Linked DNA regions of Caenorhabditis elegans. The protein of the gene in region 2 interacts with the protein of the main gene of each other region in a pairwise test. Each region holds a gene or a part of one and is shown on either strand. Other genes may lie near its edges. The genes, in order: unc-53, abi-1, F41B4.1 and Y50D4A.4.

What was found.
Region 1: the proteins of abi-1 (region 2) and unc-53 interact in a two-hybrid assay, tested with the Caenorhabditis elegans proteins (one study listed by BioGRID).
Region 3: the proteins of abi-1 (region 2) and F41B4.1 interact in a two-hybrid assay, tested with the Caenorhabditis elegans proteins (2 studies listed by BioGRID).
Region 4: the proteins of abi-1 (region 2) and Y50D4A.4 interact in a two-hybrid assay, tested with the Caenorhabditis elegans proteins (2 studies listed by BioGRID).

The regions. Positions count from the first base shown.
Region 1 is NC_003280.10:11,084,839-11,092,687, reverse strand, and holds the start of unc-53 (Adapter protein unc-53), read left to right. Parts: upstream 1-3,272; coding exon 3,273-3,302; intron 3,303-4,387; exon of another isoform or gene 4,388-4,583; intron 4,584-7,849. UniProt on the Caenorhabditis elegans protein: Involved in the migration and outgrowth of muscles, axons and excretory canals.
Region 2 is NC_003281.10:5,686,647-5,694,501, forward strand, and holds abi-1 (SH3 domain-containing protein), read right to left. Parts: upstream 6,085-7,855; 5' UTR 6,061-6,084; coding exon 5,932-6,060; intron 5,885-5,931; coding exon 5,799-5,884; intron 5,753-5,798; coding exon 5,311-5,752; intron 4,820-5,310; coding exon 4,228-4,819; intron 3,744-4,227; coding exon 3,583-3,743; 3' UTR 3,461-3,582; downstream 1-3,460. Other genes in the region: arle-14 (ARF7 effector protein C-terminal domain-containing protein), read left to right, coding at 6,368-6,424, 6,473-6,568, 6,609-6,933, 7,008-7,144; B0336.13 (Transcription initiation factor IIA small chain homolog), read left to right, coding at 7,402-7,688, 7,803-7,855.
Region 3 is NC_003284.9:6,822,483-6,829,624, forward strand, and holds F41B4.1 (ZM domain-containing protein), read right to left. Parts: upstream 3,381-7,142; 5' UTR 3,335-3,380; coding exon 3,293-3,334; intron 3,240-3,292; coding exon 3,113-3,239; intron 3,064-3,112; coding exon 2,352-3,063; intron 1,815-2,351; coding exon 1,667-1,814; 3' UTR 1,403-1,666; downstream 1-1,402. Other genes in the region: gei-15 (GEX Interacting protein), read right to left, coding at 1-62, 678-764.
Region 4 is NC_003283.11:1,191,498-1,199,304, reverse strand, and holds the start of Y50D4A.4 (Mic1 domain-containing protein), read left to right. Parts: upstream 1-3,177; 5' UTR 3,178-3,211; coding exon 3,212-3,580; intron 3,581-3,645; coding exon 3,646-3,756; intron 3,757-4,519; coding exon 4,520-4,686; intron 4,687-6,200; coding exon 6,201-6,322; intron 6,323-6,399; coding exon 6,400-6,540; intron 6,541-7,807. Other genes in the region: Y50D4A.6 (uncharacterized protein), read left to right, coding at 263-404, 970-1,094, 1,347-1,355; wrb-1 (Guided entry of tail-anchored proteins factor 1), read right to left, coding at 2,306-2,406, 2,463-2,829, 2,877-2,987, 3,222-3,233.

The DNA.
Region 1 (7,849 bases), on a different chromosome or scaffold from region 2:
TTGACAATTCGAGATCTTTGGAATCTCACGTTTTAAATAGTTTTATGATTTGTATTCTTTCTTCAACCCAACTATCATTTAATGATTTTCTATTATCAAGAAACCACCAGCTTCTGAAAAAATGGCGGCGCAAAAAAGAGATATTTGCGCTCCAAAACGGTAGATATGAGAAAAATATCAACTGGAAAGTTGCTGACAACATAATAAACAACAAATTGTTAGTTGACCGTTTTTCAAGGACTGTGGAGATTTGAACATCCCACTTGGTGTCAGAGTATCCCATTTTGGCTTATTTACGTAGATCTACAAAAAATGCGGGGATGAGACGCAGAGTTATCAACTGATATGGTTGAGAACTTATGTAACATTTTTTGGGCGAAAAAATTCCCACATTTTTTCGTAGATCAAACCGTGATGGGACAACCTGGCACCATGTGGTCCAGGTGTTATTTTCAAATTTTTAATCAGATGGGTCGCACGAAGATGTTGGTTTAATTTTTGGAACTCGTAAAATAACTTTATGGCATTAGAAATTCCTCAATGAAAATTAAAAACAAGCGCGGCGGGACCCATTATCAGCATAAATGCAAATATTGGAACAACTTTTGTCTATCAAATCATCGAGGTGCAACGGCGCTACACTGCCCCTAAAATTTTGGTCTCGTTAGGTTTTGGCGACAAAACCATTTCTTGGTATTTTTTGTACTCCAAGAATTTCCTCTACAAATGTACTAGTTGCTGCTAATGATATAAATAACATTTGGAGAGACATTGGGTTAGTATTCCCAAAGTGTTTTCATCATCATCGTCTTGTTTCTTTTTTTTTTTCGCTTTCTTTTCAGCACTTCATGTTTTGTTTCCGTTACTCGGGTTTTTCTTTTCCTCTTTCTTCTTCTGCCCTCTGTCTTTTCGTTTCCAAAAAGAGGGAAAACTAACTCGATTTGGACGTTCGGAGCAACAAGCTTCACCCGCCTGGCTCTTCTCTTTTTGTTTTGGCTCATCAATTTTGTCTATTCTCTCCGGCCGTGCCAAAGGAACCAGAATTGTGCAATTTCTGGTCTTTTCCGGAAACTTTCCATTTTGATTTCAGTTTTTGTTGGACTAGGATCCCAAGTCATGTTGGAAACAAAAAAACATCGTTTAGCCCGATAGCCCATGTGGCAATGATTATTTCTTTGTGGGTGGTTGGGCAAGCTTTATGTAGTTTCGGAACTGGAATCAGGAGGCTAACTATTTAATTATACAACGATTACTATTTCATATTATACATTTCCCACATTTTTGCAAAAAGCAAGGATGGTTTAGTTCTTATAAATACCTTATTTCTTCTAGATATTTTTTAACTTTGACAGCTTATATCTCTGTTGTCGTTTATTTTATACAAAAATTGTCAACTGGTGTCAGTTATTTTTCTATCGCTGTTTCAAAATGAACCAAGGTGTACACCTTTCAAATTAAACTAACCAGGTACAATACTAAAGGAGGAAATACATTTATTTTTTTATTTTTTTGTAAATCTAGATCTAGATGCCATTTTTGTTTCGAAAAATGCATGTATTTAGTATTTTACAGTTTTGGCAATTTTATAATATTCAAGTTCTGGCAATTTTATGATACTTTGAGATATAGTTAGATTTAAAAATTGCTGGAAATGGCAAGTAACTTGAAATTTTGGCAGCTACCAATATTGTCAAAATTGCCTCGCCAGATGTACCATACCATTTCCAAAACTACTAAAAACCGAAAATTCGCCAGCTATGCTTACAGTTCAAAATTTCTCTAGGTCACAGAAAACAAAATCTGCCAATTTCCACATGACCGAATTGAGCAACCTGTTGCGCATCTGTCATCTTTCCGATTCGGCTGTATTTTTACAATTAGTTGAGTTTTCAATTTTGGCAAAGTATTGTTAATACCATGATACCATCAGCTAGAGCTGTAGAGATTAAAAATCACATTGTTAAATGTGATTTTTAATTGCAGAGTCTTGTGCCACGTCAAAATTATTCAGTGTACACTGTATTTTATCAGCATCAATAGAGTATAGTTTCTGAGAATAGTTTTTTTTCAAATTAAAATTTCCAGACTCACAGGGATATTTTGCTAGAACAAATTGTAGATTCTGAAAACCCGAAATTTCAGCTACCGCACAGTTACAAAAATCCCTAGTAAGCCAGCGTTTCAGAGCGTTTCCAAAAACATATGAAAATTTTCTATAAAACTGAAAATTGTTCAAATCCTCATCAGAAATTTTTACCAGTTTCTGGTAACCTCAACATTTTTTAAGGGGGACCTTCTAGCTGGAACTTCACAGCTAAAATTTTCAAACGGTTTGATTTGCCAATTTTCCTGCTACCAGGAAAATTCCAAACAACCATAAAAATTTTATTATCCAACAAAACACCCACGCTCTATAATCATATTCTACCACCAACAAATAGTTTTCATTCTCCTCCTTTCCCTGCTACCAAAATATTTTATGAGACCCTTAAACAAATCATTTAGGCCGCCCATGAAGGTGTTGTAGTTCTGTCATCATCCTTCTGCATAATCCACAATGTGACAACGACATGATCGGTGTCTCTTTTTTTCCTTTTCTTCTCACTTTTCCATGTTTGTTTAATCCCCATCCGCGTCGCCGCTTCCTGCCCATTTTCTCTAGTTTTTATTCCATCCTGGGTTTGTATAATGGAATTAGCACATTTTTGGAGTAGTCAGTGTATATGCATCTTTTTGAGCTAAATTGTTATTTATTACTATTCATTGTTTATATTAATTTTCTGTGGAAGGTTCTTTTAAAATTATCTTGCGGTCCCACGTGGCAATTGGAAATTTCCGCCAATCGGCAATTTAAACAATTGCCGGTTTTGGAACTTCCGGCAATCGGCAACTTCGGCAATTTTCAAACATAGTTATATTTTGGAAATCAAACATATTTAACCTTGTTTATTAGTATTTGGTTAGTCATTTTTTGAAAGTAAACGATCAATCCTTTTAGGATTAAATAATTTTGAACTTGAAAATTGAAAATTGTTTGTTAAAATGCATGTTTAGGCTCCTAAATCTACAAAAGTATCAAATTTTTATTTCCGGCAATTTTTATTTCCAGCAATCGGCAATCGCCGGTTTTCAAAAATTTCGGAAATCGGCAATTTCAGCACTTTTGTTCGTTTTCTGCCCTTATCTCATAGTCCTTCTGTATGCAGAATCATATCATTTCCAAATTTTCAGACATCAATTCCATCGAACGAAATGTTGGTGCTCCGAATAAAATGACGACGTCAAATGTAGAATTGATACCAGTGAGTTCTCTCTGTGTCAGATTATGCAAATGTACTACTGACTACTCTTTTATGAGTACCCATCCACTCACTAGTAGAAATGGACAAAATTCAATCCTCATGGGACTATGATTCCACTTTTTTTTAGAGGGAAAGAGTTGGGATTGTTAGAATTCCAGAGTTGCAGAGAAAACGCAACACGGTTGATGGATGATGGTTTTTTTTTGGGGGGATCTTGAGCATTTTTTCGGGGAAGAGGAATCTGGAAAAGTACAATGATTACACGGAGAATGGATACTTTTTTTTTGAAATGAAGGTGTCCTAGATTTCGGGGATTAGGCAAAATTTCTATTTTTCAAAATTTCAAGTAGAACTTTCCAACGGAAAAAATTAATTGTTCTCTAATTTTTTAAAATAGTTTTTGCACATTTTTAGATCTTTCTGAAATGAACATTAGAATTTCAGTAGGTACCAGGGGTGTGCGGCAAATGTGCCGAATTTGCCGTTTGCTAAGCCCGGCAAATTTCAAAAAAGTTGATTTGCCGAATTCGCCGCACATGGCAAATTTTGAAATTTGCCGCGCACGTAAAAAATTTGACAATACAATTTGTTAAGAATTCAGTAGTTTTGTTGCTCCAAAAAATTGCAAAGAATATGACATTTTTCGGAGTTTGTTAAGCACTGCAAATTTATCAAATTTTCCGAGCTCTGCAAGTTTTGAGATTTGCCGCACAGCACTGGTAGGTACCCCCAGATTTCGAGGAAGAAATCCTCTTCCAAATCACAATTCTTTCGGAGCAACACTTTTTTTAAAGGATTTTTCTGTCTTCCCAAAGAGCCTTCTCAATCCAAACTCGATTTGAATAATCTCAAGCCGTTCCAGAGTAGCTTTTCCCATTTGGTTCATCCCATTTCCTGCCTCCTATATTTCCGTCGAAATATGATTCGCCACCGCCGCCCCGAGGTGAATCTTGAATTGAAAAGTGCTTCATCATCTTCTACTTCTTCTTCTTCTCTTGGTGTGATGCAAAACGAAATGATTCAATTATTGGCACGAAGCTGTCGCATTCACTTGTGTGTGTCCCTGATTATGAGAGGATGCTCACCGCGTGTTGAGCATACCAATTAAAATGGGAACGAACGGAAGGAGGAGGAGGGAAAAGCTGCTTTTGAAAACTAATTATCCCCTCTATTTTCCTCCTAGATGGGCTCCCGGAGCAAAGTTTTGGTGGCATGGTATTCATGCCACTTTTCCCTGTTAACATATGCATTGCTTTGACGCTTCGTTCCGAAACATGCAAAATTGGAAGTCAAGAAGCGGGATGGAAAAGAAGTGATGGAGGATATGCATTTCAAGTTCAAAAGTAGTTGAACTCATGATTACATATAAAATTGTACTGAAGAACTTATGGGAAGTTTTGAAGTTTTGAAGGAAATGGGAAATTGAGATGTAGGGAGTGTTCTGGAAGATTTTGGATTTTAACAATTTTTGAGAACAAAACATGTATGTTCTTCTTTGTTTCTATACAAATTTTCGATTAAAACCCTTAACATTGGATTGAGAAAAATGTGATTTTGTGTATTTTCCAATAAAAGGATGCATGTCTGTCAATTCTGTCGAAATTTGTCAATTTTCAATTATCCAAGAAGCTTGGAGATTTTTCATAAGATCTTGAAAGAGCTCCTCAAGGTAGGTAGGTACATATTACTGCCTACGTGCCTACATACCAAGTTCATTTGCACATGTGTAGATTTACAAAATATTTGGCAGTAGGTATGTAGGCAAGGGTTAGGCGTAAGTAGTACCTTGTCTACATATTCATCTAGTTGTCTATAATAATCTTTTCTGATAAAATTGATATTAATTTGAAATTTTTGAAAAGTTTTGGTACTCAGTTTGATGTTAACCATATTATGGATAATTGCAACTTACTATAACTTTCATATTCCGGAAAATTTTTAGAAAAATTTAATATGAATATCTACGTTTTAATGTTACCCGATTAGTCGGCGATCACTCATTAAAAATTGGTGAAATCAGAAAAACAAACGGTTCGGTTTTCTGGAATTCAGTGTCGAGTCTCTAGTTTGATCAGTTTTCCAAATTCAAACCAGAGAGTTAATATTAAAAAATTTTTCAAAGGCTTTAAAAGTAAATTCATAAAATCCTATTTTCAACTCCATAAGTGCCCATTCCATGACCATTCTTCCCTACAACCGGAACCACTGGAAATCTTATGGCGGTCTAAGATTGAATGCAAATAAATTCACACTTCGAAATAATTACCATTCTATTTTCGCGGCTGGTCCATCTTCTTCTTCGTCTTCTTTTCCCGAAAAGAGTGGCTCTCAGTTAATTCAAATCAGTTTGCGAGCACATCTAAATATATCCGCATGTTTACCGCTTTCTTCCCTACAACCGGAACCACTGGAGCTCCTCTCCCCGGGTGCAACGTAATCCAGTGTTAATGCTCACGGTGTGGGGGTTCCAATGAGCAGTGTATAATTAGCTCATTCTTACTAACTAACTGATGTGGTGTTCTTTTCTCTTCTCGTCATCAGAAGTGCAGTCACACACACATTCACACTGATTCTTTACCGCGCAGGCAGCTGTGAGGGGCAAAAATGTGGGCGTGGTTTGTTATGAACTGGAGAGGACCTCGAAGCGTTTTGGAGCAGCTTTGTGGCTTTAGTAGAAAACATTTTATGCGGATTCATGGACACCCTTCCGCGGATGAATTCCGCAAACTTGGCAGTGGATTCTATAAAGGTTTGGATGGTTTTTTTGTAACTGTTATTTTATAGAACAAGATATACTGAACTGAAAAGATTTTATGTGAAAAATCAACTACATTGTCAGCATTGAGTCGGCGAATCGCTTTGCCTAATTATTTTTCAAATCGAAAGTCATAGGAGCGAACTGTGTAGGTCATTGGTGGGCGGCAAACGATTTTTTCCTACAAATCGGCAAGTTGCCAAATCGCCGGAATGGAACAATTCCGGCAAATCGGCGAACCGGCAAGATGCTGATATGTTGAATTTGCCGGAAAAAACGGCAAGTGCCGAACATTTTCGGCAAATTGTGGTTTGTAAAATTTTTTTGGAAATCTTTTTCTGAATTCTGAAACGTAAGCAAATTCTATGAAAATATCCAGAAAAAACGGCAAAAAAAATTCAAAAAGTCACAGTTTTAAGTGTTTCCGTCTTATAAAAAAAACGGCAAATTGATTTTCGAGAAACAGCTATAATTGGCCAAAAATCAAAATTTTGGGAAAATCGGCAAACCGGCAAACCAGCAATCTGCAGCCCACTCCTGAAGTGTAGTCAGACACGTTATTCATAAATTTTCTGAAACGATCTGTGTGTTTTTTCTGAGAAACTCCAATTAACTTTCTAGCTGTAACTTCAAGAAATGTGTCCACCGTCCCACCCCTCCAATCTGAAAGGTTTAAAATTTGCTGAGAAATGGACGTACAACGTCTCCTGTCGTCTTCCATCAAACCAATTGATTCTCCAGATGAGGCGAAAGAGTTCTCCCTTATCTTCATTTTCATCTAATTCTCTTCGTCTCCCACACTCTCTCATCGTCCAGGGAATTCACCTTTGGCGAACACACACCCACTACATCTCCAGCTCTTCGGCAATGAGTTCTCTGGCTTCCATTTTCTTTTTCGTTCTGTTAGAAATAGTTTTGACTGCGCTTTACTTCTATTCTAGGCCTTCCTTGCCTACCTCATGCCTACACCAGAAAACCCAGAAAATAAATCTACTGCCCTTTTTTTTTAACGAGGCACAAAGACCTAAAACTTGCATTTGCTCAAAACTGTTCTGGGGTCTTGAATATTGTAAAATTCTAATTTCTGAATTTATCTTACCTAATTTACCTAATTAGTTTCTACCACTCAATTATTCTTTGCAACAATAGAATATGTAACTCAAAAGAGCTCTACACCCACCGAATTTCCTTACTCTTCTTGTTCTCATTATTATTATTAGTTCGCGGGTCCTCCCTCGCCTTTGAAACCAATCAAATTTGTGTCCACCACGAACGTGTTTATTCGTTTCGCAAAAATGTGGCCTCCGAAGGTGTTGCATTTCACCAGCAGGGAGTCCATATTGTTCATGTTTGAGCATATGTTCACTGCTTCCCATCAAACAACGATACTCAGATTTCCATGTACCAGACAAACATAAAACTCAAAACCAAACACATTCCCAGAGTTGGAAGATGTCTAATAAGGCAGAATTTTTGATTTCAGGATAGATTTTTTTAGTTTGTGATTCAATTTGATTTTCTCTTAAAAATTAATTTAAATTTAGCTTGAACGTTTTCAAAACAATAATATGATATTTGTTTAGTAAACGTTTAGAAAAAAAAACATATAAACATTTTTGGATTTATTTTTTGAAAATTATAATATGTCGTTCTAAAGTGACACCATTCCGATTTGCTTTTCTACATTTTTCTTTTTCAAAATTCAAAATTCCTCCCTTCCACACAATTAGGCGCTGTTCTTCTTCTTCCCCAGTTCTGACCCCAACTCCATAAATTCAAAAAAAAAGAAAAG
Region 2 (7,855 bases):
CCAGGCAAAAAAAAAACACATTCCGATGAAGAACTCTGAAGCTCATCTTTGAGCTCGTGGAGCCAAGAAAAAACTCAATGAGCATTGGACAGCTGGAGGGCAACACCAACAGCCGGAAAACAAGACATTTTAAAACTTTAAAAATTCTTTTATAGAAATAAATGTCGGCGATATTGCCGGTGTGGTCTTTCAATTTTTATAAAATAAAACCTATCCATTTTGTTGGCGTTTCCTCTTTTTTGGAAATTGTTTTTTCTTCGGATAAAAAATTATCCACAAAATTTTGATAAAAATATGCAAATGTTGGAATTTTCATTTATTCCGGGAAATTAAAGAACGTAATAACAGTTTTATTTGGAAAAAAAAGTTGCAACTTTGATCTAAAAATTTTTAACAGAAAAATCCATACAGTATCATCTATTAATCTCATAAATCAACACCAAAACTGAAAAATAAAGTATCTGTATCAAAAAGCACACAGACAGAGAAATGTTTACAGGCAGTCTAGTTTGTTCACATTTTGACGTAAATACTCAGTCATTGTCGTAGGTACTCAAATTTACAATACGATTAAAATTTTCTTGATTCTCAGCGCTAATTTTTGATCATTTACCGGAATTTATTGGTGTCAGTGAAGTTGATCTTGTTAACACGGAAAAACGGAAAAATTCTACAAAAATGTCAGACTTTTTTGGTGAAAATGAATTGATAAAAATTGTGATTGATAAGGAAAATTGGTGGTGAATTTTAAACTGTGTGATTTTGATCTGATCTTTTGCAATATCTGGTTAGTTGACAATTTATCATGTTTCTGAGAGCATATTCCTCAGAATTAAATTTGTTTTTATTTTGCTAGTTGTCAACTTTTTAGTGAATCTAAAAGTCTAAAAGGTTTTGAAAATGAAATCAAAATGCTTTAAATTCTTTTTTAAATCGAATTTTCATTTTCTTAGAAACGGATTTCCAGAAAGGAAGAATAAAAAACTAAATCCAAGAAACAGGAGATTTTCGCCAGAACGATTTTTTTTGAATAACTCAATTTGTGGGGATTCTTTGAAATTTGGGCCGGTCTGGAATTGAAGATTTTATTATTATTAATAGGAAAATTGCTCGATTCAGATTATTGAAATAGTCTTGAAAATATGAATGTTGAATTATTGTTGAATATTTCTGAAAAAAAGGCTACTTGCGACGTGGCCTAGAAAAAGAGAACAATCGGCCACCAATTTTTTTAAATACTAAATAATCTGTCTTTTAGTGATTTTTCTCCGTTATTACCAATATTTTTCATTAATTTCTTTTTTTGGCAAAAAACTTGAAAATCAAGGGATAAATTGAGGTACCGTTCTCGTTTATGCAACGTGGCCTAAAAAGCAGAAAGTTCGGCCACTAATTTTTTTTGGCATATTGAAAGAAAATCGGCCATAGATTTTTTAAATGAGCCTTTAAAACTGATTTTCGATCACTGAAACAACGAAAACAAAAAGAGTAAAGCAACTTGAAGGTTTTCAAATAAAAATAAGGAAGATGCTTGAACTCTTGTTAAAGAACATTCCAGATAAATGGATTTTGCAATAAATAAAATAAAATAAAAACAGGTGAGTTCACATAAAGATGTCTATTTATAACTATCAATGATGACTCTGGGGTTTACTATTTCCGAGGGTTTTTTGCGAAAGAACGGATCGGTAGCCGCCCCTGTGAAGAGAGAAAAAGATTGACGAAATATGTAAATAGAGAATAGACAAGTTGGTGAGCTCTTTCTGTTGTGTGTGTGAGAGAGATAGAGAGAGTACAGAGAGTACAGAGATATGGAAAGACGTAAGAAGAGGAGCGTACCGACGTCACGCCCTGGTAGGGGAGGGGAGAAGGGACACAGGACACTCTGAAAAGATAGAAAATAGAGAAAAAAGAGCCACAAGAACACTGAAATGAAATGTGCTTTGGTTTAAAAATAAGGGAACTTTTGAAAATTGAAAATACTGAAATGCGCGTATGGAGCACCAAAATTTCTTTGCAATTCAGATTGCAATTATTACCAAGTTGCAAGAAAATACAAAAAAAATAACGGTACCCGGTCTCGACGCGACCGAGAGTTTCGCAAAAGAGAGTGCGCCTTTAAAGAGTACTGTAGTTGCGAAATTCTGTTTTACGCAATTGTGTTCAATTATCATCGATATTTTTTCTTTTCGAAAAATTAGTTTTTCGAAAAACAGCTTTAAAAAGGGGTGGATAAAAATTGCAAAAAAAAACTGAGAAACTACGGTAATCTTTAAAGGTACACACTCTTCTATGCCTGAAATTTCCGGTCGCGTCGAGACCAGGTTCCGTAGTTTTTCGTCAGAAATTGTGTTTAATAGCAACAAGATTAGATTTCATTGTTATACAAGAGTTAAGGTCGGAAAAAAAATGTTTATCAAAAAATAAATATGCCAATTCAAATTTGTCCCATGAGGTATTTGAACCGATTTAAATATAATTACTGGTACTTTTTGTATTAGATGCTTTTGAATGGAAGATTAACCGCAGTTTAAGAGCACCAACAAAACAACAAACCGACTTTTCTTAATTGAGGTCTCGTGTTTTTCGAAAAAAAAAACAATGTTTTGTTTTTCTGACTGAAATGTTTCTCGAATTTTCCAATTAAAGCGAATTTTTGTTTCTTTTTATGAGCAGAGTACTCTGCAGAGTTTCATATTTTAAAGTTAAAAGATAAAAAAATACGGTATGCGGTCTCGACACGACACTTTTTTGCTAAATAAAAAGGGATGTGCGCCTTTAACGAGTACTGTAGTTTCAAACTTCCGTTGCTTTTAAATTTTCATGGAGTTTTCATGCAGCATGCAGCAACAAATTTTTGAAAGTACTGAACTCTTTAAAGGTGCACATCCGTTTTTATCCAATAAAAAATTGTCGTGTCGAGACCGAGTACCGTATTTTGGCGCAAAAATGACAAAATTTTGCGTCTGTGCAATAGTTAAGGTCCCACCGCGATCCAAGTCATCTTATTGGAAATCGCGCGGGAATTTCAACTGTTCAAGAATTCTGCTTGTATTTTTGACCTTTGTTCCTCCTCTAAGAAAATCTGTGTCCACCGCCCACCAAAAAAGATACAATTCCCACGCCTTGCAAACTCTTTGGCGTCACTATTCGTCGTGCCGAACATGAATTATTTAAAATTCTAAAATAGAAGAAAAAATAAACTAGAGAGGAGAGGAAAAGAAATAAGAAGGCACAAAAATATAAGAAAATGAATGAATGTGTGTGCATGAAGAGAAAATGAGCAATCTCATTAAATAGGCGAGCCCCTAGGAAAACCAAAAGAGAGTAGTACGGGGGCAGTGAGAGAACGAGCACATGCGTTCAGGAAATGCGTCGAGACTCGAAAATAGCAGTCGTATTGGCTATTTTTAGGCTTCTCACTGCTGCAAACGAGGGGACCACTGCTTCCTTCATGATTACATATCCATCGTTTATTTTTGGCTTTTCACATACAAGTACTCGAGGCAAAAGGCAATATATGAATATGAATAAAAGTGAGATTAAAAGCAATTGATTTAGCAGGGTTAGCATTTCTTGTTATCATACTGGAACTACGTAGTTTCCAGGGAAAAGCCCAGTGACTCCATCCAAGACACCTTCATACCAGTCGTCATCGTTCTTTTTCAGTACGTAGACAATTGCGTTCTCGCGAAGTGTCAACTCGTCTTCTTTTGCAGCATCATAGTCGTACAGGACCCGTACTGAAAAAAAAGATTGGTTTTTTTCGAAAATGTTTAAATTGACAAATATAATTGCTTTGTAACATTAAAAATTCTGCAAAAAATCGCATTTTACAACTTAAGATTTCGATTCTTTTTGGATTTTTTTGATACTCCGATGTTTTTAAAGGAAATTTATTTTTCGTTTTTTTCGAAAATAAAAGCTAAAAAGATAACTTTTTAAAAAATCAAAGCTTATAATTTTCAAAATTTGAAAATTCTCAAAAAAAAAAAATTTGGAGATATTTGAATTTTTCAAAATCACTTTCCAATATCACAAAATTTTTTGTTTTTTTCTCTTTTTTAAATTTTTATTAAATTTAATTTTTTTAAACTTTTTTCGGTTTTTATAATAAATTTTTCACTAACAATTTTAGCCAATTTTCTAAATCGTAAAATAATACAGAAAAGCTTAGAGAATTTTTTTCCGACAATTTTTCAATCAAATTAAAATCTCCAAAAATACCTTTTTCCAAATACTCGTTGGGCATCCATCCAGCACTCGTATCAAAGAGACTTGGTGGCTGACTCGAACTGTACGATTCTGTTCTACCAGCAAACACTCCATACGCTGATGACCCACCAACTGATTCTGGTGGAGGTGGTAGATCATCCATATCATCTTGTGTTGGCATTCGACTTGACATTCCAGTGAGCAAAGAATTTGGTGGAGGTGGAAGATCATGTCGGTTCACCGTTGATTTTCGAATAGTTCCATAATTTTGTTGTTGCATTTGTTGTTGTTGTTGTTGTTGTACCACACTTCCCGGTGCAACATATCCAGTATAATTCATAGCTGGTGGTGGAAGTGGGAATGTTGGTGATTCTGGACCTCCAGCACTACTTTGTGCAGATGATAGTCTGGGAATAGAAAAGCTACCATCCACTGTAGTCCGACCACCAGCTCGAATAGTTCCGTAACGATCAGGTTGATAAATGGAATTATAGTCTGATGATCCGTGTTGACTTCCGCTTCCACCACCACCGCTCATATGATCTCCGAACTCTGATCCGTGGCTCATTTGACGGCCGATTCGTGATTCTGATTGTGGTGTGACCTGTAAAAAGTAATCGGATTATGTTAGAAAAAACTTGATTAATTTTTTGAAAAGGAAATGAGCTGATTTTTTAAAAATTAGTTGTTTAGTCTGAAGTCGACAAAAACTAGCCTGAAACATTGAATTTCATAAAAAGACTTCTAAAAAATTTCAAAATTAATTATGTGATTATTCAATAAATACTGTATCTAACTGCTGTAACAAGGATTTCAGATTCTTATTCAGGCTCGCTCTAAATTTTTTTTCGATATTTTCAGAAGTCTCATTATGAAATGCGGTCGTTTTGGGTCAAAAAAACCGTTTTTTGAATAAATTTATCAATGGTTCACTTTTTTTTCAATATTGAGTGTATTTTTCAGAAAAAAAAGTTTAAAATTTAAAATGTATAAGTTATGTCAGAATTTTTCGCTCCCTTTTTTTTTTGAAAACGTTTTGTCAAAAACACGAAAAGCAAATTATTTTCAGCCTCTATGAATATTTCAAATGTTCACCTGTGGCAACCGATAATCCGATGGAGCAATTGATGGAGCATACGGTCTCATTGTTCTTCCTAACGTAGCCGTTCGTTCACCAGCATAAACTCCATACGCTGGAGATTCATTGTGAAATTGTGATGGAGAACTGCCAGAAATTGATGAAGTTGCTCTTGAGATTGGTGCTGCTCTCGGTGGATCCGATGTTCTGACACCATGCCCTATTCCGTCAAGAACAGAAAAATCGATGGGCGTTCGTTGATATCTCTGCTTTTCATCTGGGATTGCTGGTGCAATGATTTTGGGTTGCTTGAATAATGTTTTATTGGTTGTGAGAGAACCAATTTCTCGTCTTGCAAGCTTCTCTTTATGTACATCAACTACTTGGCTAACATATTGAACTTGATTTGTTAAAGAGTTCACTTTATCGGTTTGTAGAGCAAGCATATCGTGTAAATCTCTGAAAAAAAGATTCATAATTAAAACAAATTAATTGAAATACTTACGTAACCATCTTGTTAATCTGGTAGGCTACGCTGGCGAGTGCCTGGATCGCGAATTTCTTGGATTCCTCTAGCGCAGCAGATTTATTCTGAAAACGTTTAATTCATAAACTTAAAAGAAAAAATTAAACCACACGTTTGATTGTATATAATTATCCTCACAATACGCGGCAACTTGTTGAAGATTCGCATGACTCGTTTCCAGTTGAGCTCGATTATCGGGTATCCGTCGCTCGATGAGCTCTTGAAGATCATTAACACTCATTCCGCCTTCCCCATTATGTAGCATCTGTAACAAACTAAAAGTTAACTAACGTTTAGAAAAATATTTTAAAAATAATAAATTGACAGCAGAAATTTCATGAAAAACACTCAAAGGAACTGAATGAATAAGAAATTAATGAGGGCGTGGTCACAGAATGCAACGCGCGGCGCGCTTTTTCGCAAGTGGTACGCACATGTTATTTCCCGCGAGGAGAGCATATCGAATAATAGAATTTCCTCGGATATATTCAAATTAAATCGATATAAATCATATTTCCTACTAAATTTCTGAACCAATAATTCTAAAAATGAGCTCCAATGACGTTCTCGCACAAATTGCCGGTCTGGCGAAAGCTGCAGCAGAGGTTTGAAATTTGAAATTTTAATGTATTTAATTTTTGTATTTTTTTCAGCTTGAAAATGATTTCTCGACGGATAGTGAAATGCAACAAGATTCCGAGATTTGCGATGAAGTCGATGCGGAGCTTTTTGACGATTTCGAAACAAAGGTACGCTTTTGAATAAAGAAAATTTTAACAAAGTTCCCAGAAGTTGCAGCCATCATCTCGAAAGGAAAGTTCAGGAACGAGCCGTCGAACGAGAATGGCACACCGAGAGCTTCAAGGCCTCCAGTTCGCGAATCCAGGAGATGAAATGTCTCGATTTTTGCCCGACTCTGTGGATATTATTAGCACCAACCGCTCGAAACGTGTAGCCGCGGAGAAGCAGGCGGATCTGAGAGACGAACCTTTGCATCATGACAAAACAGGAAAACTTTCGGTTACCGCAAAAGGACAGACTTTGTTTTTCGATCTTTGTGATTGTCTCGTGGTGGAGTGTGATGGGTGCCATTGGCCATGTAAGCAGTGCAAATGTAAGAGATGATATTCATTAACTAAAAATATTTGTTCTAAAAATTCTTTAAACAAAGAAAAATGCATTTTTCAGCTCGCAAATGTCTCATCGGATGTCGTCAAAATCGAAAAGAAATGGTGATACGCGTCGAGGAGATGTACACAGTGACGGAAGCCCCGGGCCCTGTTGTCAATATTAATCCTTATTTTCCGGGCCAAATCAAGGATTAAATGCCTTATCGTTTTATCAATTTTAACCTCTTATGTATGTTCCCCTTTTTCTTGTACTGGTATTATCTATTTTGAACTGTTTTATACATGTCTTTGTGAAAAATTCAATCTCGATGTTCATTAAAAACTAAAGATATTGTTTGTTTTTGTTCTTTTTTGTCATACTAATCCATAGTTTCTCGGTTGATAATCTGAAAATATATCTGGCATCTTCTCGAGAAAAATTTAATCCAACGATATTTCAGAATCTTCCAGAAATGTCGTCATACGCTCTTTACCGAGGGACCACACTGGGTCAGGCACTCGATAAAACTCTTGAGGACATGGAATCCGAAGGACTTCTCACGAAATCTCTTGCTTCGAAAGTTCTGCAACAATTTGATAAAAGCATGAACAAGCAAATCTCGCGGCTTCCAAAAGAGAAAATGAATTTTTGTGCGACACAACTGCTCACTTATCGATATTGTGATAACGTTTGGACGTTTATTCTCAATAATGTCACGTTGAAAGATCCCCAGCGATCGTTTGATGAGCCTATTGATAAGTGAGTGTTTCTTTTATTTGTATTAAAAATAAAAAATCTAGAAAAAAGCAATTGTTTATTAATTTTCTATAAAAATTTTTGTTTCTCGATGATCTATAATTATTAATATTTCAGACTGAAAGTGGTCGCCTGTGATGGTCGTCAAACAAGCCTTCTGCAGACATTGA
Region 3 (7,142 bases), on a different chromosome or scaffold from region 2:
TGGGAGCGATTAGCACGACTGTTCATCGCGTGGCGGGCAGTTTCAAACCGATTGTAATCGTCCTGGAATTCATATATTTTGTTCAAGTTTTCCAAACACTTTGCGTTTTATGAACTATTCAATTTTGATTGTTGTGTTCTTATCCCGCGTGGGTCGCCGAAAAAGCAATGAAACGGATACGTCATTGAATTGAGTATTGATCGTTGAGACAACGATGCTCTCCTTCCCGCCATCGTCTCATCGAGGGATCCAAAGATATCTGTTTCTGACTTTACAACACGGAATGCAGTGAGCTTTGTTTTGCGCCTACGCACCCAACAGACGGAAAAATTTCGGATTTATCGTAGCGTTTTTCATGATTGATTTGTTTGGAATCAAGTTCAAAACAGAATTATCATAAATTGATGTATCAGTTTTTAATACCAGGGTAGGCCACTAAGGAAATATAAAATAACCGTTGACATACAAGAACATTAATTTTGGAAAAAAACATTTTTGAAAATACAGAAATTCTACTCTGAACTAAAAAAAGACGGAATAAGTGTTTTATATACAGTAAAAAAAATATGGGTCATTCAAATAGTTCTTGAATTTCACGCCGAAAAAAACGAAAACTTGAAAATATTTTAAAATTTCGAACTGAATTAAAAAAAAATCTACCAATCAAATAAACGAACCCTATGTTTTCCAAGGGAAGCATAAGAAGGACTTCCGGTTCTTTCACGGAAGTTACTTAAATTGGCAGCGCTGCCGTACTCAGACATGTTGTTTGAGTTTGGATGTATTCTGAAAACAGTACACGTCTTTCTCCAAAGTTGGCAAAAAATGACAGTTACAACAAGAGAAAAGTATTGAAAAAAGTTGAGAATCAGAAGGATCAAGAAAAATGATGAAAGCAAAAAAAGAATTTGCCACGCGACTCTCAATATCTTTATGCCGTTTCTTGTCTTTCTGTCTCGGGCCGAAGAGCAGGACGAAAGAAAACGATGGCATCGGGAATCGGCGGCGAGTGGGAGGAGGGAGAAGAGATATCATTCGATAACATATGGCACAACGGCACTTCTTCTCTCTTGTTCTTTATCTCTCAGCAGACGATCTTGCGCCGTTCGGATCGGTGGTTTTGAAAAATTGATGAAAAGGTGCACAAAACAAAAGAGTTCTCACAGCAGCTAAATTATCTTCGAACTTTTGATTGGATCCAAAGATCAGTTGGTTAAGATTTTTAAATTGTGAAAAAAACTGTCCATCAATAATAATTATTAAAAAATAATAAGAAAATCGGCATTTGTTTGATTGTTTCATGATATCATGAGACTTGAACTGTTATTCCTAATCCTAAACCCGCATTGTTTTCCCATGACTGGGCGGGTTTCTCCAGATGACTATCGAGTTATGAAGTGGATTTGGTTTGGGGTGTAACATTTTATTGTACACATATGCTTTCGACTAATTCTTGCGAGAAAAGAAAAGAAAACGAAACACATAAAAATACGAACAGGCAGAAAATTCTTGACCGGGGAGAAAAGAGGAAAAAGAAAATTAACAGTTACGTAGAGCACAATTTGAAGCTTTTGAAGATAATTGGCGTGCAACAATTTTAAGAACATTTTTCTGAAAAAAAATTGCAAGAAAAATTTGAAAAAATTATACATAGAATATCGAGGAGTTAATAAGTAGTGGTGTAAGTCGTTGTGTGAATCGTCGAAGCCGGACGATTGTACTGTTGATGAACATGTCGGCTTGTAGATGTGGATTGATGTAGACCTGGAGACAGTGAACGCGCACGTTCCTGATCGAGCCAGCTCACTCCTTTTCTGCAAATAGATTTTGTTTAGGAATTCAGGTTCATTTCTTATATTTGTATTAGCGCCCTTGGCAAACCAAATAAAGTATGTACCAATGAAATAAATTTGGCGTCTTTTTTCGGTTATTAACTATTTTAAGAATCTTATTTAACATATAATAGACTCTCCAGAAAAGAGGTTATATTTTTGGGACAGTGGCAAAAATTACCAGATGAGACATTTAATGTCATAACTGTTATTTGTCTGTCTGGATTCACTAGACAATTTCATTAATAACAAATAACTCTGAAACTTAATTCATGCTGTAATTGACAAGAGGTGTCACATAGCCAAAAAATTCTGATAGTTTTTAAAGAGCTAGTTCAACGAGTTATGTAATTCAGTTTTACCTTAAATTTGAAACTATCTTTCTATACATAATCTATACCATATATAGTGTATTTTTAATGAATCTATACATAGTGTATCTTTAAATTGTCTAATAAATGAAATTTCTGCCAAAGAAATCATTAGCTTGAAATTATATTTTCTGTATTTGTATATTACCTCTTCAAACTGCTGTATGGGCTTGTTGGCGGGAGAGTTGATGTATGCTTCATGCCACCTTTCAGTGTTCCATAAGTACTTCCAGTTCCGACATTGCTCATACTTCCATATTGACTCTGACTGCCTCCATATTGACTGTTAGCATTTGAGCTACCATATGTTACACTTGTTGGGTGGTAGCTGGTAGTGGAGGTCGTATTTTCGGTGTAATAATTGGTGTTGTTTTGATGTTGTGGTGCGGGTGCTGGTGGCGTCGCGTGGCGATGATATTGCTGATACTGCGGCATTTGATGAGGAAGGGTGTGAGATTGAGAATGCGATTGACGGGTCAGAGTTGAGTTTGCGGATTGGTTTTGAGAGTATGGAGCGCTCATCGCGGACCCAACACGGGAGCCTGGCTGACTGATCATTCCCGTATTTCCGATGGAAACCTGACCGGCTTTGATAAGGTTCTCAATAAATTTGTTGTCGGATAAATATTCGAGTCCAGGAAATTCTGCTGTATAATTGTGTCCGTCAATATTCGGGCATACTGGTAAGTCTCTCGGATTAATTCCTTGCTCAATTTCAACGTTTTTCTCGCGATTTTGTGATCCCAAAAGTTTGTCCATCGAGCTATACCGCTCGAGAGTTGAAGATGGACCACGGCTCAAACTTCTTCTCATTTCTTCATATTTGTGAGATGGCGTCTTACGTGGAGGAGGCGGTGGAGCTGTAAAAAATTGGTTATGTTAATCTAGAATGCTGTAATTTTAACTCACGAAGTTCCCTCTCTTGGTATTGAATTATATGAGCATTGTTGTCGATGAATCGTTGAAGCTCTCGATCTTGAGTGGAAGAAATTTCATGTCGATTCAATAATTCCACACCATTAATGCAAATTTTGGTCTGAAAGTTTCGAATACAAAAAACATTATTAAACTAGAAATTTGGTAGCTTACATCATTGTGATAGTTGTTCGGTAGATAGGTCGAATAGGACATTTCTGAAATGTTGAAGTAAAATTGAAGAAAAGTGAAAAACAGAAACGAAGAAAAGAAAAGCAGAAAACTCTTTGGCAGTGCCAAACCTATTTCGCGACGGTGACAAAACTTTGATGACTAGAGACACAGGAGAAGAGTTCAGATGTCGAAGAGGTTCAGCGATAGAGCGTGACGGTGTAATGTGGGTTAGAAAGAAAAGTTTTTGTGCTTCTATCTGTTTTTTTTTCAGTTGTTGTTTGTCTCGTCTCACTTGTGATCGCTTTTTTTATCTTCTTTCTACCAGCTCTTTGCTACGGGCCACATCCATTGTGTGGGAGGTAACATCTGTGCATGGTTGTCGATCAGAAAAGCATTTTTCTCATCTTCATTTTTCACCGTGGAGACTGGTTGGTGTCAAATGTTTTTCCCGTGTTAAAAGGGATTTGATGAACTGCTCAGAATAGAAAAATGCGAATCTAGTGGTAAAACAACACAACAACCCTAATGCCTTACTGTCATGGTTAATTTGACAAAATGAAATTTTAATGTTTCGGTGCACACATGCATAGGTTGCCTTCAGAAATTGACAATTTTCCCATTGATTTGTCTACATAGGGCATCGAAAAGCACCCAATATTTAGAGAACAGAAGATTTTGAGAATTACTGCCTTCAGAAATTGACAATTTTCCCATTGATTTGTCTACAAAGGGCATCGAAAAGCACCCAATATTTAGAGAACAGAAGATTTTGAGAATTACTGCCTTCAGAAATTGACAATTTTCCCATTGATTTGTCTACATAGGGCATCGAAAAGCACTCAATATTTAGAGAACAGAAGATTTTGAGAATTACTGCCTTCAGAAATTGACAATTTTCCCATTGATTTGTCTACAAAGGGCATCGAAAAGCACCCAATATTTAGAGAACAGAAGATTTTGAGAATTACTGCCTTCAGAAATTGACAATTTTCCCATTGATTTGTCTACATAGGGCATCGAAAAGCACTCAATATTTAGAGAACAGAAGATTTTGAGGATTACTGCCTTCAGAAATTGACAATTTTCCCATTGATTTGTCTACAAAGGGCATCGAAAAGCACCCAATATTTAGAGAACAGAAGATTTTGAGAATTACTGCCTTCAGAAATTGACAATTTTCCCATTGATTTGTCTACAAAGGGCATCGAAAAGCACCCAATATTTAGAGAACAGAAGATTTTGAGAATTACTGCCTTCAGAAATTGACAATTTTCCCATTGATTTGTCTACAAAGGGCATCGAAAAGCACCCAATATTTAGAGAACAGAAGATTTTGAGAATTACTGCCTTCAGAAATTGACAATTTTCCCATTGATTTGTCTACAAAGGGCATCGAAAAGCACCCAATATTTAGAGAACAGAAGATTTTGAGAATTACTGCCTTCAGAAATTGACAATTTTCCCATTGATTTGTCTACATAGGGCATCGAAAAGCACTCAATATTTAGAGAACAGAAGATTTTGAGAATTACTGCCTTCAGAAATTGACAATTTTCCCATTGATTTGTCTACATAGGGCATCGAAAAGCACTCAATATTTAGAGAACAGAAGATTTTGAGAATTACTGCCTTCAGAAATTGACAATTTTCCCATTGATTTGTCTACATAGGGCATCGAAAAGCACTCAATATTTAGAGAACAGAAGATTTTGAGAATTACTGCCTTCAGAAATTGACAATTTTCCCATTGATTTGTCTACATAGTGCATCGAAAAGCACTCAATATTTAGAGAACAGAAGATTTTGAGAATTACTGCCTTCAGAAATTGACAATTTTCCCATTGATTTGTCTACATAGTGCATCGAAAAGCACTCAATATTTAGAGAACAGAAGATTTTGAGAATTACTGCCTTCAGAAATTGACAATTTTCCCATTGATTTGTCTACAAAGGGCATCGAAAAGCACCCAATATTTAGAGAACAGAAGATTTTGAGAATTACTGCCTTCAGAAATTGACAATTTTCCCATTGATTTGTCTACAAAGGGCATCGAAAAGCACCCAATATTTAGAGAACAGAAGATTTTGAGAATTACTGCCTTCAGAAATTGACAATTTTCCCATTGATTTGTCTACATAGGGCATCGAAAAGCACTCAATATTTAGAGAACAGAAGATTTTGAGAATTACTGCCTTCAGAAATTGACAATTTTCCCATTGATTTGTCTACATAGGGCATCGAAAAGAACTCAATATTTAGAGAACAGAAGATTTTGAGAATTACTGCCTTCAGAAATTGACAATTTTCCCATTGATTTGTCTACAAAGGGCATCGAAAAGCACTCAATATTTAGAGAACAGAAGATTTTGAGAATTACTGCCTTCAGAAATTGACAATTTTCCCATTGATTTGTCTACATAGGGCATCGAAAAGCACTCAATATTTAGAGAACAGAAGATTTTGAGAATTACTGCCTTCAGAAATTGACAATTTTCCCATTGATTTGTCTACATAGGGCATCGAAAAGCACTCAATATTTAGAGAACAGAAGATTTTGAGAATTACTGCCTTCAGAAATTGACAATTTTCCCATTGATTTGTCTACATAGGGCATCGAAAAGCACTCAATATTTAGAGAACAGAAGATTTTGAGAATTACTGCCTTCAGAAATTGACAATTTTCCCATTGATTTGTCTACATAGGGCATCGAAAAGCACTCAATATTTAGAGAACAGAAGATTTTGAGAATTACTGCCTTCAGAAATTGACAATTTTCCCATTGATTTGTCTACAAAGGGCATCGAAAAGCACCCAATATTTAGAGAACAGAAGATTTTGAGAATTACTGCCTTCAGAAATTGACAATTTTCCCATTGATTTGTCTACAAAGGGCATCGAAAAGCACCCAATATTTAGAGAACAGAAGATTTTGAGAATTACTGCCTTCAGAAATTGACAATTTTCCCATTGATTTGTCTACAAAGGGCATCGAAAAGCACCCAATATTTAGAGAACAGAAGATTTTGAGAATTACTGCCTTCAGAAATTGACAATTTTCCCATTGATTTGTCTACATAGGGCATCGAAAAGCACTCAATATTTAGAGAACAGAAGATTTTGAGAATTACTGCCTTCAGAAATTGACAATTTTCCCATTGATTTGTCTACATAGGGCATCGAAAAGCACTCAATATTTAGAGAACAGAAGATTTTGAGAATTACTGCCTTCAGAAATTGACAATTTTCCCATTGATTTGTCTACATAGGGCATCGAAAAGCACTCAATATTTAGAGAACAGAAGATTTTGAGAATTACTGCCTTCAGAAATTGACAATTTTCCCATTGATTTGTCTACAAAGGGCATCGAAAAGCACCCAATATTTAGAGAACAGAAGATTTTGAGAATTACTGCCTTCAGAAATTGACAATTTTCCCATTGATTTGTCTACATAGGGCATCGAAAAGCACTCAATATTTAGAGAACAGAAGATTTTGAGAATTACTGCCTTCAGAAATTGACAATTTTCCCATTGATTTGTCTAGATAGGGCATCGAAAAGCACTTAATATTTAGAGAACAGAAGATTTTGAGAATTACTGCCTTCAGAAATTGACAATTTTCCCATTGATTTGTCTACATAGGGCATCGAAAAGCACTCAATATTTAGAGAACAGAAGATTTTGAGAATTACTGCCTTCAGAAATTGACAATTTTCCCATTGATTTGTCTACATAGGGCATCGAAAAGCACTCAATATTTAGAGAACAGAAGATTTTGAGAATTACTGCCTTCAGAAATTGACAATTTTCCCATTGATTTGTCTACATAGGGCATCGAAAAGAACTCA
Region 4 (7,807 bases), on a different chromosome or scaffold from region 2:
CGTTTTACGAGACCATCAATGCTGAGAATGCGTATTGTGCAACATATCTGACGCACATTACATCTCCTAGCGAAGACCACAGTAATTCTTTAAATGATTACTGTAGCTCTGATACGGGAACGTAAAATTCAGAGAATGCGTATTGCGCAACATATCTGACGCGCAAAATATCTCGTAGCGAAAACTACAGTAATTCTTTAAATGACTACTGTAGTGGTTGTGGCGATTCGAGGGCTCGATTTTTGAATTATGCGCGTCAGATATGCTGCGCAATACGCATTCTCATAATTTTGTGTTCCATATATGGGCCCTGCCAAGACCGCGTCCAACGACCGGCCAGCAGGCCGTCCGGCTGAATCACAACGACTGGCACCGCAAACATTGGAGACGCCGACAGGAAGAAGGTTTTTTTTTAAATTTTTTTTAACATTAAACTTATTGAAATTAAGAATGTTCAAAAACTTAAAATTGAAAAACGTAAAACATAACTCTAGAATACGTCAAACCCAGCTAATTTTCTGCACAGAAGACCCAAAAAATCAGTTTTCTCCGACTACAGCAACCCTACAGCACCTCCTGAGCACTTTCTCAACACAAAACTCGGCAAACTTTCTTTTCGAAACCCAGCAGAAATAGTAATCCTAGAGAACAACTAGTTTTTTCTAGCTTCATATTTCACTAAAATTAAATTTGTAATGTAGTTCCCGATCGATTTTCCATCGTAATTCACTCGAATTAGTTATTAAATATACTTTCTTATCGATTTTGCGTCCTAATTTTCAAGATTCATACGGAAAGAGTGGGTAATATAAAAAAAATGGTCCCTGGTTTGATTAGAAACAATTCTAACAGCGCAGATCGATAAAACTTGAAAATTAGGGCGGAAAATCAATGAAAAAGTGCGTTTAATAACTAATTAGAGTGAATTATGACGGAAAATCAATCGCGGGAAATACATTTACAATTAAGCCCGTGGAGCCAACGCGTCCGATGACTCTGATGGATTCGATGATGAGAATAGCGATGATAATGGAGATGCTGATGGAAATGTCGATGTCGATGCACCCGGTCCGAGAGTCCCGAAACTGGAGGAGGTATGAAAATAGGAAACGAATTTCTATTCGCAATATACATCAAGCCTTTCTGTTCGTTTTCAAAGCCGAGAAAACGAGCAGCATTTCGTGAAAAATTGAAAATTTTCTGTTTTCGAATTTTAAAATTCTAAAAATTCAACAAAAAAAAAATCAAAAAATTTCGATTTTATAGAATTTCTAAAATTTGAAAAACGGAAAATCTAGAATTTTGAATTTTCAAAATTCGCTAGTTGCATAATTTATTACTTTCAGCAATGGTAATCATCTGCATCGTCGGCTCTTCTTCACATCCACTTCTCGCCCTTTATTGATCGAATAGCTCTTCCTTGTCTGTGTAAAATTCTTTCATTTATTTTATGTCGAATCGTGATATCAATAAATAGCTTGATTTGAAGTGGAAATTCTTGGCGAAGATGTTGAAAAAAGCCGGTAGTTAGTCTGAAAGTTAGATTAATTACTTATAAACGCGTATTTTAAAGGCGGAATATCCAATTTAGCTTCTGAGTCCTAATAACTATCTTCAAAAAATTAGTGAATTTCATTTTTGCCCGCTTAAGTTTTTTAAATGCGCGCGCAAAGAAATGAGTCCCCACGAAAAGGGAAGCAGAACGAAAAGGGGATCTGCAAAAAGGGGATCTGCGAAAAGGGGAGATACGAAAAGGGGAGATACGAAAAGGGGAGCAACGAAAAGGGGAGCTGGCACTGTGCCAAACGCACAAAACGCAATTTTTCTCACGCAACGCACGTTGATTTTTGAAATTTTCTTCTAGAAGATACGCTTAACAACACGCGACGCGTAACATCGGAGCATCGTTGTATCGTTTTCTTCGAGAAAAATAGCGTTTGGCACAGTGCCAGATCCCCTTTTCGTTGCTCCCCTTTTCGTATCTCCCCTTTTCGCAGATCCCCTTTTTGCAGATCCCCTTTTCGTTCTGCTCCCCTTTTCGTGGGGCCTCAAAGAAATTCTCAGTGGAGCGCGCTTACTTGGTGTCGATTTACGGGAGCGTTTCAGTTTTTCAGCGTGTTTTTACGATTTTTATCAGTTTTTTTTTTTGAGAAATAGAAATGTTTTGTGTCAATTTAGCATTTTATTAGCTCGCAATTTGAATATACAATTGTATATTCAAAAAAAAAATATTAAAAGACCCGAGTCGAGAGAAATAGTCATGAAACAGGAAACAGGAAAAAACAAAATTTAAAAAAAAATTAGATTAATCAGTCTTCAGGTCCGATTTTCTGAATGTCTTGAGCGCCAGATTTAGCAGATGGATCATCAGAAATGTGAGCGCGAATCCGGAAACTTCGGCGAATTCTGAAAAAAAAGAAAAGAAATATTTATATTTAAATAATTAATTCATTAATTCATACCGGCCGGGCAGGAGTCATTTCCGAAAACCGCTGGGAATCGAACAAGTACGTTGAAAGGCCAAAAAATAGTATCCGGAATGCAGTAGGCAGTGATGGCGGACACGTGTCTCAGAAGAAAAAGTGCGGAGAATTGCATAAAAACTTTGACAACTGTGTCGATTTTCAAGTTCCTCGAGTTTTCAGACGGGCTAGCGGCTTCCAAAGCAGCTAATTCTTCGCTGGCTTTATTCATTTCTCGATCCTTCTTGAAATATCGTGCAAATTCGGCGGTCGGAGAGATTCCGTGCAGCTCTCGCTTCAAATCGGCAATTTTTAGCTTCAACGCGACGACTTTTGGGCTGGGCTTTGGCTTGGACAGTGATTTGATCTGAAAAATATATATTTGTGATTTTAGAGTAATAATATCGAACAAACCGTGCTAGAAATGGTGGAAACAATTTGTGAGCTATAAATCGCAAATGTTGCAGAACAGATTACAGCGATGACATTGAAAATTGATATTTGAACCGGTTTCGACTCGTCCATCTGAAAATTAATGTGAAATTTATTAATTTTGGACATTTTGGAAGCAAAAATCCGTAATTTCTTAAGAAATATAAATTAAAATTAAATATAAAACAACGACACTCCGAAATTCCGCACAAAGTCCGCAATGTGTTTGCGTACTTTGCATTTTAATTGACGACATTTTTTTCTCTTTGGTTATTTTTTATCTATTTTTGCAGAAAAAATAATAAACATTAAAAAAAATGCTCGAACTTGGCGCCTCATTCATCCCGTTCGAACCAGACCGCTCCTCTCACGACGGAAACATCACGCGCAACTTTTTCGACTGCTCCAGCCAGCGAATATGCACAATGAGGAACAACGGGGCGCTGGGACTCACTTCGAAATCGCTGAAAAACGATAAAATAATGAATGTCCGAACAAAGGATCGCGGGGAGCCTTCTACTGTGAAATTTTCGCCCGATGGCCGGCTCTGTGCGATGCAACGCACCCCAACCACCGCAGACGTGGTTTTTTTGGAAAAAACCGAGACTTCTCTGTGTTTGGAGTTAACAGTCAACACAAAGTCGAAAGAACCATTGCTGGCAGTTGAATGGGTCACTAATAATCAGGTTGGTTGGAGCGAAAAAAAATTGTAAAAAAATCAATTTTCGCCTGAAAAAATCGATTTTTGCAGCTCCTCCTCGTGAACAACCATAGTGCCGAATTATTATACATTAATGAGGATAAAAAGTCGTCGAAATTGTTAAAAGCGACAAATGTCAACGCTGCATGGGCAATTTATTATGTAAATTCGAACAATTTGTCAAGATTTTGGCGGCGCCAGTGGAGAAATTGCTTTAAAACATGCCTATGGTACCAAAACGACCAAATATCATGGTAAAAAATTGGAAACTTTTTTATAAATTTTATATGATTTTTTGAAAATTGAAAAAATCTCAGTTTTTGCCTAATTCCTATTTGAATTACCGCCAATTGGATTTGTTCGATGGAGCGCGCTTGCACGTATTTAAATTTATTTATTTTATTTGTTTCTTATTTTCCACCGATTTTTATTGTTTTCGGTGTATTTTTGCTCGAATTTTAGAGAAAAGGCCAAGATAAATGTAAATTTTCGATTAAAAAGCACGCTTACAGGCGTAAAAATGACAAAGTAACGATTTTATACGATTTCGAACCTATTAATATAATTAATTTCACTAATTTACGCCTGTGAGCGTGCTTTTTAATCGAAAATTTGCATTTATCATGACTTTTTCTCTAAAATTCAAGCAAAAATACATCGAAAACATTAAAAATCGGTGGAAAATAACAAAAAATAAAATAAATAAATTTAAAAACATGCAAGCGCGCTCCATCGAACAAATCCAATTGGCGGAAGTTCAAATAGGAATTAGGCAAAATCTGAGATTTTTTCAATTTTCAAAAAATCATATATAATTTAGAATTTTTTTTTTGAATTTTTTAACCATGATTTTAGGCCATTTCGGTAATTTCCCCACTGGGCGCACTCCACCTTTAAATTTAAAATTTAAACACATAAATTTCAGGCGCCCAGTCAGCTGCTTCTCATCGCAAATGGCCAGTCTTGTTCATATCTTCAGCCATTCGTTGTGACGCACTCCCAGTTTACTAGAATGAAGGGGTTTGAAGTCGATTTTGGAGGATCCATATCGAAGGAGAACTTTCTGGAAAAAGACGCGGCGATTGCCACGATGTAATATCGCTTCCATGGAGCGCGTTTGCTGACCCTTGCCGTTGAAAATTGCAGTTTTTTAAAAGCTTTATCACAATTTTTTCGCGCAAATTTGAACGAAAAATATTATTTTAAATGGATAAAATCGAAGGTTTTGGGCAAGGATACAAAATGAACGAAAATCAACGTATTTTTAACTCAAAAACTCTTTACCGGTTTTTACCGGATTTTTACAATTTTCAACTGAAAAACTCCAATTTTTCCGGAATTTTTACGATTTTTAGCTTTAAAAAACTCAATTTTTTCCGGATTTTTACAATTTATAGTTGGTGGGCGGCAAACGGGACTTCCGGCGAATTGCCGGAATTTAAAACTTCCGGCAAATCGGCAATTTGCCGAAATTTAATACTTCTTGCGAATCGGCAAATTGCCGGAATTGAATATTTCTGGCGAATCGGCAAATTGCCAGAATTGCCGGAATTTAAAATTTCCGGCAAATCGGAAAATTGCCGGAATTAAAATTTCCGGAAAATCGGCAAATTGCCAGAATTGCCGGAATTTAAAACTTCCGGCAAATTGCCAAAATTGAATACTTCCGGCAAATCGGCAAATTGCCAGAATTGCCGGAATTTAAAACTTCCGGCAAATGCCAAAATTGAATACTTCTGGCGAGTCGGCTAATTGGCAGAATTTAAAATTTCCGGCAAATCAGCCAATTGCAGGAATTGAATAATTCCGGCAAATCGACAAATTGCCGGAATTGAAAACCTCCAGCAAATTGGCAAATTGCCGGAATTAAAATTTCCCTCAAATCGGTAAATTGCCAAAATTTGAAACTTCCGGCAAATCGGAAAATTGCCAGAATTGCCGGAATTTAAAACTTCCGGCAAAATTCGGCAAATTGCCAAAATTGAATACTTCTGGCGAGTCGGCTAATTGGCAGAATTAAAAACTCCCGGAAAATCGGCAAATTGCAGGAATTGAATACTTCTGGCGAATCGGCAAAATGCCAGAATTGCCGGAATTTAAAATTTCCGGCAAATCAGCGAATTGCAGGAATTGAAAACCTCCAGCAAATTGGCAAATTGCCGGAATTTGAAACTTCCGGCAAATCAGCGAATTGCAGGAATTGAATAATTCCGGCAAATCAACAAATTGCCGGAATTGAAAACCTCCAGCAAATTGGTAAATTGTCGGAATTTAAATTTCCGGCAAATCGGCAAATTGCCGGAATTAAAAATTCCCGGAAAATCGGCAAATTGCAGGAATTGAATACTTCTGGCGAATCGGCAAAATGCCAGAATTGCCGGAAGTTAAAATTTCCGGCAAATCAGCGAATTGCAGGAATTGAATAATTCCGGCAAATCGGTCAAATTGCCGGAATTGAAAACCTCCAGCAAATTGGCAAATTGTCGGAATTTGAAACTTCCGGCAAATCGGCAAATTGCCGGACTTTAAAATTTCCGGCAAATCGACAAATTTTGCCGAACGACAATTGGGATTTCCACATTGAAACAATTATTCCTATTTTTCAGATATGGCAGAGTTTATGTGCTAGTGTTCAAATACAGTAACCGGAACGCCACAGTGCTCGATCTCTATGAATTGCCATTTGATGCGGCTACAGGACCCAGTTTCAAGCATTCATTAATTTTAGGTGCTGAATAAAATTAATTTAAATTTTTTTTTTAATTTATAAAAATAAACAAAAAATTAATCAAAAATAATTTTCAGGATTCAATGGTGGCTGTGGTATTCATGTAATCGATAATTTGGTCGTTGTACATCACCAGGCGTCGCAAAAATCGCTGATTTTTGATATAAGAGTCAGCTCGCCGAGCAAGAGTCATTCACCTCTTGTTGTCACCACAATAGGTACTTGAACGACGACTAACGGAGCTTTTCAGAAAATTATTTTTAAAAAATTTTAAAAAAAGGAGCAACACATGTTCAAAAATTTAATCTATTTTTCGAAAAATCAAAAAACTAATTCGAAATTTCGAAAAAATTTTCCAATTTTTTTTTAAATTAAAAAAAAAGTTAGAAAATTAACTTGAAATTCGATTTTTTTTACCAAATTCTGTTTACATTGAAAATTTATTGATTTTCTGAAAAATTGAAAAATCAATAAAAAATTGATGAAAAAAAAAACTAAAATTTTCATCAATTTTTCGAAAAAAAAATTCAAAATATCGGAAAATCGAAAGTTATTAATTTTTGATTTTTTTTTAAATTAAAAAATGTTTGTTTTTCGATTAAAAATTTCGATTTTTAAAAAATTAAACCGATTTTATTCTAAAAAATCGAAAATTTTTCGTTTTTTATTTAAATCGGAAAACAAACATTTTTCGATAAAAAAAAACGAAAGACAAAAATTTTCCAAATTTATTCATAAAACCGAAAAACGAAAATTTTTCGTTTTTTTTTTAAATCGAAAAACAAAATGAAACCGAATTTTATTTTTTGAAAATCGAAAAAAAAATCGATTTTATCAAGAAAAAACCAACATATCGGAAAATGGAAAATGATTAATTTTCGATTTTTAAAATCTCGAAACTCGAAAAAAATTAGTTTTTCGATTTTATTTTTATAAAAACGCCAAAAAATTTTAATTTTCCGATGTTATAAAAAAACCGAAAATTTTCCGTTTTTCTACGTAAAAACGAAAAAATTTCGATTTTTTTAAAATTAAATCGATTTTATTTAAAAAAAAAATTGAAAAATCTCCGAAAGCCGAGATTCACAACGGAGCTTTTCAGAAAAATATTTAAAAAAAACCAACTATTTTTAAAAATTGTTTCTGGAAAATTGAAAAATCGAAAAAAAAATTTTGGCATAAAATTCGATTTTTTTAAAAATCTGATTTCGTTTATATTGAGGAGAAAATCCATGAAAAAACATAAACATTTCTTTCAAAAAAGAGGAAAAATTACCAAATTTTAATATATTTTTGGAAAAAAAAAGCAAAAAATCGGAAATTTTTCGATTTTTTCAACATTGAAAACTGGAAAAAAATGTTTCAGAAAATTGTCCATAAAATTCGATTTCTATTGATAAGAGAAAAAATGTTCCGTCTAAAAAAGAAAATTTTGGTCAATTTTTCGAAAAAAAAAATCGGAAACGCGAAAATGATTAATTTTTG